3 linked regions of the Canis lupus familiaris genome follow. The protein of the gene in region 2 interacts with the protein of the main gene of each other region in a pairwise test. Links are inferred from orthologs where the notes say so. Each region holds a gene or a part of one and is shown on either strand. Other genes may lie near its edges.

Region 1 (2,512 bases), on a different chromosome or scaffold from region 2:
GCCCATCAAGATCCTGGTGTGTGAGTTGTGTACATGGAGAGTAAGTCTGACCATCGAGTATTCTCTTGATCTAATATTGTGTTGATTAGACTTTTTTTAAATAAGTAAGTAAAGGAATAAATAACTCCTGATCATTCACCATGCTCAACCTCCAAGCTTTCCCTACCTCAAGGCTTTGCACGGGCTGTTCCCTCTGCCTGGAATGCCCTCCCCGCAAAGGTTTATTGGTTGACTCCTCTCTCTTTAGATTCTTCACAACTGTCACCTCCTCCGGGTGGCTTTCCCTAAATTTTCCATCTGAAGCTGTTCCCCCTCAGCCTATCACAGCACTTGTCATGATCTGAAACTATCTGTTGTTTCTGTTTGATTCCTGGTTTTGTATCTGTCTCCTCCAATAGAATGTTGGCCTCATTAGGTTTTCTTCCCACTGGTTTAGCTCCAACCCCTAAAGTAGTGCTGGGCAACAAATGTTTTTGGAAAGAAAGGCAGAAGGAAACAAAGAAATAAATGAGGGAACAAATGAGTGAATGTACACAGGTAAGGCTAAATAAATGAAATGGGATAGGTGAATAAAAGACACTTTGGGGGAAAAGGACCCCAAATTTCCACATTTGGAATATAAACCAATTTGAGATTAGAGAAACAAAAAGACAGTTATTTTATTTTGGTTTAAAACTCATTATGTGAGAAGCACTGAGAAATTCTGTATAAAAAGGGGCCCTGGCTACTGCTAGGGTGAATGTTTGAGGACCAGTCAGAGATAACTGCATTGGAAGGGTTGGTGGGGAAGAAACGGGACCTGAGGGCCTGGAGGCCAGGAGTGGAGGACAGCAAGCAGCAGCTGCCGGGGGAGGAGGCTCAGAACAGGTGCAGAAGGTGACTCAGTCATCCCATTCATCGTCGTCATCCTCGTCGCCGGCCTGGTCCTCCCCTTCGTCTGAGAGGGAGAGAAAAAGCGGAACTCAGGATGGGCAGAAGGGTTCAAAGGCCGTGGGTGATGTAATGTTCTTGGGGTCTGAGAGGTCAGGACTCAGGGTCTGGGGCAGGGGGCTGAGATCTCCTGCTAGGAAGTCAGATCTGGGGGCCTGTGCAGTTGGATGAGCAAGGGGCCCACCCAGAGGAGGGAGAGTTAGGGTGTAGGTTGAAGTTGGAATCAAAGTTAATACCATTGTCAGAAATGTAGTTAGGTGGGTTACTGCCCAACTATGTGGTTACTGCCACACAAGGGTTAATGTTAACAGGCTTGTTATTTACTGGGGTGAATTTTAAGTATTATAAGCAAAGGTGGAGTACATTACAATAGTGCTGTTCCATAACAGGCTAATGTTAATATTGTTGACCTATAATGGGTTATTGATATCACTGTCAAAAGAGGAAGTTTGTTATAATATTGTCATATAATGGATTCATATTAATCTGTGGGCTTACTCTGGGATTAATGTTAATACTGTCAGTAATCTGTTGAGGTTCACATTACCCTCATCTAATTGTCATATAATAGTAATATTATTGACACAATTAGGGGATGAATGTTATGATAGATTGGGTTGGTTATGATATTATTATCACATTACAAGCTAATGTTCATCTATTGACACAGAGTTCAAGTTAATATTATTGCCTATGGTGGGGTCCTTTATAATATCATCACATATGGGCTAATGTTATACACTACTGGACATACAGGATTAATATTAATATTGTGGCCATGCCTTGGCATTAATGTTAATGTTATTGTCAAAGAGTGAATTCTATTATTGTTCCATAATGACAGTGTTAATATTGTCACAAAGAAGACAAACGTGAGAGTCATGATGGGGTTAATGTTACTATGGATACAGGACACCTGGGTGGCTCAGAGGTTGAGCATTTACCTTCTGATCAGGGCAGGGATCAAGTCCCACATCAGGCTCCCTGCGAGGAGCCGGCTTCTCCCTCTGCCTATGTCTCTGCCTCTCTCTGTGTCTCTCATGAATAAATAAGTAAATCTTTAAAAGAAATGTACTATGAGGGGATCCCTGGGTGGCGCAGCGGTTTGGCGCCTGCCTTTGGCCCAGGGCGCGATCCTGGAGATCCGGGATCGAATCCCACATCGGGCTCCTGGTGCATGGAGCCTGCTTCTCCCTCTGCCTGTGTCTCTGCCTCTCTCTCTCTCTCTCTCTCTCTCTCTGTGACTATCATAAATAAATAAAAAAAAAAAAAAAAGAAATGTACTATGAATGGTAACCGGTAGAGTTGTTCTTAGGCCAACACTAGCCCTAGGAACTGGGCTCACTGTCCTGGCAAAGGGCAGGCTCTCACCTGAGGAGTGGATGGCTCTGCTTCTCTTCTGCATCACGTGCATCAGGGCTCCCACCAACCCTTCTGAGCTCTGAGTTGGAGGCTGCAGTGCTGAGCTCTCTGGGGCCCCAGGGGTCTGGAGCAAGCAGGATCCAGCATAGAGGGTTCAGGGCCCATGATAGGAGCACACCTCCCTGCCCCTTCCTCATTATTTCCCCTCCCATATTCTCAA
Region 2 (3,656 bases):
TAGCGGCGTGTGATGCAGATGACGGTGCCCTTGGAGAAGGAGAGCTCGTTGTCTTTCTGGCGGGTGTATGGGTACAATGTCACCACTGCAGGATGGGAGGAGAGGTTGCCATGAGATGTGTCTCCTGCCCTAGCATGGGGATGCCAGGGAACATCTAGGGGGATGGCTACAGGGAGTAGGGCAGGAGGTGCCTTCCCCAAAGCTCTTGGGACCACCCCTGCTTCCCCACCTGGGTTAATAGTATTCAGTGCCAGGCCAGCTGCCTGTCTTTCCATCTTGGTTCACCACTCCTGGATGAACGTTTGGTCAGTTCATCAGGAAATAGGGAGGGGTGTGTGTGTGTATAACGGGCTCATATTCACACCGTTGCAGATTCTAGTGTAGAAGAGGAGAGGGGAAAAAAAAAAAAAAAGAAGAGGAGAGGGGATCCCTAGTCCCAGGAATCAGGTACCTTTCTCCAAGTATGCAGCAGGGACCCAGCTAGGCTCTTCAGGCCCAAAGTCTGGTGGGGGCAGTGGTGGCAGCCCCAATTCATCAACATCCAGGGGTAGAGGAGGGGGCAGATCCAGGGGCGGGGGCAGCTCTGGTGCTGGGAGGGAAAGTAGAAAGCCTGCAGGTGTGGCACAGGAAACCCCCTTCCAACTGCCCCCAGGAAACTCCACTGTTCAAAATCCGGGCTCCAGCATCCACCCATTTATGTAATCTTTCTCCAGCCTGGGCCCATCAGGGTTCCCACCACAAGGCCTCTAGTAGGTTCTCAGTAAACACACAAATGTTGAGCGGTGTAAGGTCCTCAGGCTCTGCCACTCAGCTGGGTAACCACAGGCAAGTCACTGAATTTAACCTGTCGGCCTCAACTTGCATCTGTGCAATCAGAGTGTGAAGATCCTCTTAGGGTTTTTAAGTTAAGTGAAAAAAGAGACGAGGAGCTTGAACACAGAGCCTGGTGTAAAGCAGGCGCTAAATTAGCGCACTTCCTCTCCTGTTACCCCCTACCTAGGACGTCCACTGAGCTGGCGGATCGGATGGGCGGGGAGACCTGGGGGACGTGAGGCAGAGACCCCACAGGGGAGCCAGGAGGGGGCGGAGCTCCTTACCCGGCGGGGGCAGGGATACTTCCTCCAGCGGAGGGGGAGGCAGGAAGACCTCGGGGGCCGGTGGCGGGGGTGGGGCCATGCCGGGGAGAGGTGGGGGTGGGGGTGCTGCCTGCCCCTTGGTCGTGGAGCCCCCACCGACACCTTCGGCGCTGCTGAGGACCAGAGAAAGAGGGCTCGGCTAAGTTGGGGGACCCCTTCCCTAACTCGGCATTACCCCCCCACCGGCCCCGCCCCTTCAGTCATCAGCCCAGGCCTGTGCTGCGAGTCGTCTCCACCCTAGTAGTCACCGTGACACCCCCACTTGGACTTGTGGGGCTCACCCTGCAGAGGCCAGGGAAGAGGCAGATGAGGCGGCGGAGAGTTTGCCCTCGGGCACCACTGGGAGCTGCACGGGCTCGGGGATCCGCGGCGGCCTCCTGGGGTGGGGGAGGGGTGGATTAGGGTGGGGAAGGAAGGCTTCCGGCCAGCGGGGTCAGGTGCGGGGAGGAGGAAGTTTGGCTCCTCTGCACTGAGGGTGGGGGAGGAGGGTTTCGGGATCTCGAGGCCTCACCCCAGGGTGGCGGAGGCGGGTGTCGCAGGCGCCTTGATGCTCTTTCGCGAAAGAGTCCCGGTCCGCGACAACTGCGTTGTCAGATCCTGCGGGGGAGCAGGGGGCGGGGTTGACGTCTATGGGGCTCCCCCTCCCCAGTAGCCCCCTGGTCCCAGAAGGGAAATGAGGGAGAGGCGGCCGCGAACTGGGAGGGAGCGCGCGGGGACAGCCAAGTTCCCACTTCTACTTCCCAGCCCCCCACATCGCACCCCACCCCACACACAGCTACCCCCTCTTGCTGCTGCCTGGGCCCTGGGCCTCTGGTCGACCGCGGGCCCGACGGAAACCTGGAGCAGACGCGGTCTGAAGGCCACTTCCTCTGCACAGCCTAGCATCCGCACCTCGCAGGCGCGCACAGCATCTCAGTGGCCAGCTTGGTGGGCTCTAATCCTCATAGACCCCAGGCAACCCCCGGCGGGGCTGAGGAGTTGGCGGGAAGGGGGGGGGAGGGGACCATCACACCTAGAGGTATACCCCTGCCATTTTTAAAAAATGATTTTATTCATCTATTTGGCAGAGAGAGAGCACAAGTAGGGGAAGAAGCAGGCAGAGGGAGAGGGAGAAGCAGGCTCCCCGCTGAGCAGGGAGCTGGATGCCAGGCTGGATCCCAGGACCTTGGGATCGTGACCCCAGGGGAAGGCAGCCGCTTAACCCACTGAGCCACCCAGGTGCCCCCCACCTGTCATTTTGACTGGCCTGCAGAACCCGGCTTTGGGAAGCTCAGGACAGAGGGACAGAGCATTTAAAATGCACAAGTGGCAAGGGCCAGCCCACATGTGAGAGAGCGCTTCTGTCCCTGGCGGGGTGTCCCTGAGTGTGGGCACATGAGGGATGCTGTCCTCTGCTATACTCCGCTAGGCACAAGACAAGGGGGACTGAGCTGAGTCCAAAAGAATGGAAGCTGGGCAATGGGAACTCACTGGTGGGGAAGCCTGGTGACTGAGGGAGGGGAGGATAGTCTGTATGCTATGGTATGTTGAGGGTTTCAAGGGGTCGCTGAGATCCAGGGGAGCTTTAATCTCCCTTGGGATGTTGGCATGTGGGAACTGACTACATGGGGTTAGGGATGTGTGCTCTCCCACCTCTCAGGAGATGAGCGGAGAAGGAAATGCTAGTGGCATGCTCCCCATCTTCACCAGGCCCCTCCCTTTTGAGTGGCTGCATCCCCACCCCTTCCCACCCAACAGCAAGCAGCTCTGGGGGGAGTGCTCAGTGCCTTGACCTCAAACCTCCAGACAGAGGAAGTTACTGTTCTCATGTGGCTGGGGAGCAATTCTCATGTACACCCTGACGCCTTCCCTTCCTCTCTTCCCCTTCACACACACACCCAGCCCCTGTGGAAGGGGGTGCTCAGATGCACCCTCAGCTAACCATCTGAGGACAGAGTAAAGGCCAGTTATGGAGGGAGGGGTCAGGAAAGACTTTTAAGGAGGGAGGCTTGGAGAGGAGGGGTCCCCTAAGGGTGATGGCTTCAGGCAGTGAGGAAAGATCAGGGAATAAGACTGGATGGAACAAGAATGTGGATGTGGAAGAGAATGAGGAGGAGGCTGGGGAGAAGCGAACCCACTAAACTGAGGGAGTGGTTTGTGGAAAAGAGGAGGGGCCCTCTCTCTACCTTAATCCCATGGCCAATGTCATCCAGGCAGCCAAAGTTGAGGGGTCTCCTGTAGTAAGGCGTGAGGGGAGGGAGGCTGTCGGGGGCGATGACTTTCTGGCCAGGGGGCAGCCGCTGGACGGTTGCTAAGGTGCCAATCTCCCTTCGGGCCACCTTCTCCATATGCATATTCACCATCTGCCATGACAGGGTTTGAGGTGACAGGAGGAGTCTCCATACAGTGCCCCACCTCTTATTTTGTTTTGGCTTGGGTTTTTTTAGATTTTATTTATTCATGAGAGACTCAGAGAAAGGCAGAGACACAGGCAGAGGGAGAAGCAGGCTCCCTGCAGGAAGCCAGATGCGGGACTCCATC
Region 3 (3,656 bases), on a different chromosome or scaffold from region 2:
GATCATTAAAATGTGGGAACAACATTTAATAGGGCTAACCAAAACAAACCACCTTATTTTTCCCAGTCTCCTGAAAGTCAGTGATAGGAGAGAGGGAAATGTTTCATGCCACATAAAGAACCTATTTCCTTTATGAAGGGTCTCTACTGTTGCAGAATTCTGACTATCTATATAAACGGAGACTGGATAAATAACATTTACAAGCTTCAGTTTCCTCAGATGACTATTACAAGAAGTAAATGCATAATATAAGTAAAGTACTGAGCACAGTGTCTGGCATACAGTAAGCACTCAATACAAGATATTCTCATTATAATTGAGGTACTCCTTCTATCTCTGAGCTTTCAGGTCCCACTTAAAATCTCTTTTCCAAAATTCCTCACTCTGTACATATATTTATTTCTACTACCAACTTTATTTTTTTAAAAGATTTTATTCATTTATTCATGAGAGACACACACAGAGAGAGAGGCAGAGACACAGGCAGAGGGAGAAGCAGGTTCCATGCAGGGAGTGGGACCTGATCCCAGGACGCCAGGATCATGCCCTGAGCTGAAGGCAGACGCTCAACCACTGAGCCACCCAGGAGTCCCTACTCCCAACTTTAAAGTGGTCCTAACCTTTCTTTATAGAGAACTGGAGTGTAAGCCAAGTGCCTAAAGCACCAAGAGACTTTGAAAATGAATTCTAAAAATCTTCCCTAACTGCTATTACAGGATATATGTATGCAAATTAGAGTCAGGAAACATATTATTTATGTAAAAAGTGAATAAAATTAATTAGAATAAAGGAAGAAAAACGGCACTAATTTAATTTCCAATAGGGCACAACTATTTCTGCAATTCATACTAATTAGTTCAGTGTAAAAAAAAATGAGAACTCTTCAATTGAATGAGATCCATTTGAGAAATTCTCTTTAAATTCAGGGTATTTTGGGAAGCCTGGGTGGCTCAGCAGTTGGGCGTCTTCCTTTGACTTGGGGTGTGATCCCGGGGTCCCGGGATCGAGTGTCACATCGGGCTTCCTGCAGGGAGCCTGCTTCTCTCTCTGCCTATGTCTCTGCCTCTCTCTCTGTGTCTCTCATGAATAAATAAATAAAATCTTAAAAAATAATTAAAAATAAATTCAGGGTATTTTTATGTTAAAGTGTAGACATTTCTAAAATAATTTACTAAAGACAATTTATAAACGACCATCTATGATGATCAAATGCTACCTAGATGAAGTTATCATAATTTTTGAAGAATCAAAGATTAAACATAAATCAGAACTCCTGGAAAAATGACTGAGAGTCTACAAAATGAAATTTCAGAAAGTCATTACTATGTGAAAGAATGATTGATGCCACTCTATGCAGAAATGAAATAAAAATGTTTTTATAACCCACCTGTAGTTTCTGAGTCAAAGAATCCCTCTGTTCTTGTAGTTCTCTGGCATTATCAATTTCTTGTTTTAATCTTTCTATTTCCTAGAAAAAGTAGAGCAATGTCTTTAGCAACAATATTTAAACTAAATCAAGGAAAGAAAAGGTCTTATTTCTCCCTGAAATTACGGTCCAAGTTCTTAGAAAAAAATTTTTTTAAAAACATTCCTTTATGCTGATTTTTTTGAGAGGTGAATTTGTCTTTTTGGGAATGTTTTCTAGTACATGATCATCTTCAGCAATACGTCTACTTGGTGGCTGTGGTACAGCACTGCTTAGAAACCGTAATCACAACATTTTAAGGCTGCTTCAAGCTTTGTGGATATAATTCTTTCTTGGGATATTAAATCTTATGACTGGAAACCAGAGAAAGCAATAGTTTGGAAAATTCATTTAAACCTTTCACGGTTTTCTTTGGATTTTATGAATGTAACTTTCATACAGAAGGCAAGAAACCTTCAGGCTGACTGCCTCACCATAGTTCCTAACAGCAGAAACAAGGATGGAGAAGATATGGACACATATCAATCAAAAAAAATTTCATTCCCCCCACCCCCGCCACAACATCCCACAAGCTTATTTTATTCCATCAAGTACCTGTAAATCTGACAGAGATTCAAATATTTTGTACATATATGCTAGCCAGATTACACAGATGAGTGAAAAGTAGCAAATACCTCTTCCTTCACTTTCAGCGTCTCTTCCAGTTCTTGTATTGTTTGATTTAATTCTGTCTTGTGAGTATGCACTGCATTAGCTTGGCTACTAACACATTCAAGCTCAGTCACCTGAAATGAAATGTAAATACAAGTTAAATTATACGACTATGTCAAAAGATTTCTTGCCAAAAATATAATAAACCCGATAGGTAAATCATAAATTTGAAACAACACATGAAAATCAATTTTGAGGGGATCCCTGGGTGGCTCAGTGGTTTGACGCCTGCCTTTGGCCCAGGGTGCGATCCTGGAGTCCCGGGATCGAGTCCCGCGTCAGGCTCCTGGCATGGAGTCTGCTTCTCCCTCCTCCTGTGTCTCTGCCTCTCTCTCTCTCTATGTCTATCATAAATAACAAATAAATAAATATTTTTAAAAAAATCAATTTTGAGATACATTAAGACACTTAAGGTAGAATGAATAGATTCTTTAAGGACATGAATTTAGGACAAAAAAAAAAGACTAGGGGAAATAATTATTCATATGGCTTGCTCATGGAAAGAGCTAGGAAACTTAATTGATTAATGACAGTTAAGAAATCCTATTATGAAAGGCTTCTTTAAAAATTTCTTATCAAAACATATTCAAAATCAGCTATAACCATCTGCCTTCCATCTGTAGCTTTCAAGTTAAACATGGCTTCTGAAAACTGGCCTTGCAGAAGTGAGAAATTTTTTAAATATATTTCCAAATTGTAAGAGAATCTGGAAGAAAAGATACGCTTAAAATACAACTTAAATCATTCAATACTAGAATGACTTCACATCAATAGTGTCTCTGTAGCCAAAGACAACATTCTTTAGTCAATAAGAATGTACTAAGGGCCCAAAGAGCTACATAACTTGTAATGAGCACTTTAAGAGAACAGCAAAGGGCAGTAGCCCTAAAAGTTATACCATCCAAAAACACTATTGAGCCAACAGTCAAAATAGAAGTCAACATAAAAACAGACACACATACCCCATCACAGCCCTTCACATGCATTAGGATCTTATACATTTTGGCTGACTAGAATGCAGTAAGTTCTAGACCATTAGGGAAACAGTAAATCCACTTTCACATTTTCCAAATATATACTAACCCTCCATAAATGTCACTCTACCTTTCCTAACACTTTCTTCCCTTCTACTCATGCACTAATAGTCTTGTGCAGACCCTTATCATGTAGGCCTAGATTATAGCAATGGACCACCAGAGGACATAATTATATAATTTCTGTCTATTTTTACCTCTCCTGTAAACTAACATTCATCTATCGTTGTGTAACTCCTCCATTCAAAGCCATTCAAAGGATCATTTCTTACAACCCTCGGGTCTTGCATATACCAGCCCTAAACAATTTAACCATCCTCATCACCCAAGACACTCACACTATGTAAATATGTGGTTTTTCCAACTAAAGGTAGGCAAGTCTCCTCATCCTAAGAATAAACCACTCTCACACCCATCTTGCTGACTTCACTAGAATGTCCACTCTTACTGCTGAAGCCAATCAGACATTACCAAACCTTCAGCTC

What was found.
Region 1: the proteins of ABI3 (region 2) and WAS interact in binary tests that used the Homo sapiens proteins (3 or more experiments, as listed by UniProt). The two-hybrid records come from large-scale screens. The link is inferred for Canis lupus familiaris from reciprocal best matches to the Homo sapiens genes ABI3 and WAS.
Region 3: the proteins of ABI3 (region 2) and HOMER1 interact in binary tests that used the Homo sapiens proteins (3 or more experiments, as listed by UniProt). The two-hybrid records come from large-scale screens. The link is inferred for Canis lupus familiaris from reciprocal best matches to the Homo sapiens genes ABI3 and HOMER1.

The regions. Positions count from the first base shown.
Region 1 is NC_049260.1:42,092,926-42,095,437, reverse strand, and holds the end of WAS (wiskott-Aldrich syndrome protein), read right to left. Parts: intron 2,417-2,512; coding exon 2,302-2,416; intron 938-2,301; coding exon 882-937; 3' UTR 635-881; downstream 1-634. UniProt on the Homo sapiens protein: Effector protein for Rho-type GTPases that regulates actin filament reorganization via its interaction with the Arp2/3 complex. Important for efficient actin polymerization. Possible regulator of lymphocyte and platelet function.
Region 2 is NC_049230.1:25,333,409-25,337,064, reverse strand, and holds part of ABI3 (ABI gene family member 3), read right to left. Parts: intron 3,479-3,656; coding exon 3,302-3,478; intron 1,734-3,301; coding exon 1,648-1,733; intron 1,514-1,647; coding exon 1,418-1,513; intron 1,250-1,417; coding exon 1,098-1,249; intron 590-1,097; coding exon 452-589; intron 86-451; coding exon 1-85. UniProt on the Homo sapiens protein: May inhibit tumor metastasis. In vitro, reduces cell motility.
Region 3 is NC_049224.1:27,623,864-27,627,519, reverse strand, and holds part of HOMER1 (homer protein homolog 1), read right to left. Parts: intron 2,212-3,656; coding exon 2,101-2,211; intron 1,469-2,100; coding exon 1,388-1,468; intron 1-1,387. UniProt on the Homo sapiens protein: Postsynaptic density scaffolding protein. Binds and cross-links cytoplasmic regions of GRM1, GRM5, ITPR1, DNM3, RYR1, RYR2, SHANK1 and SHANK3.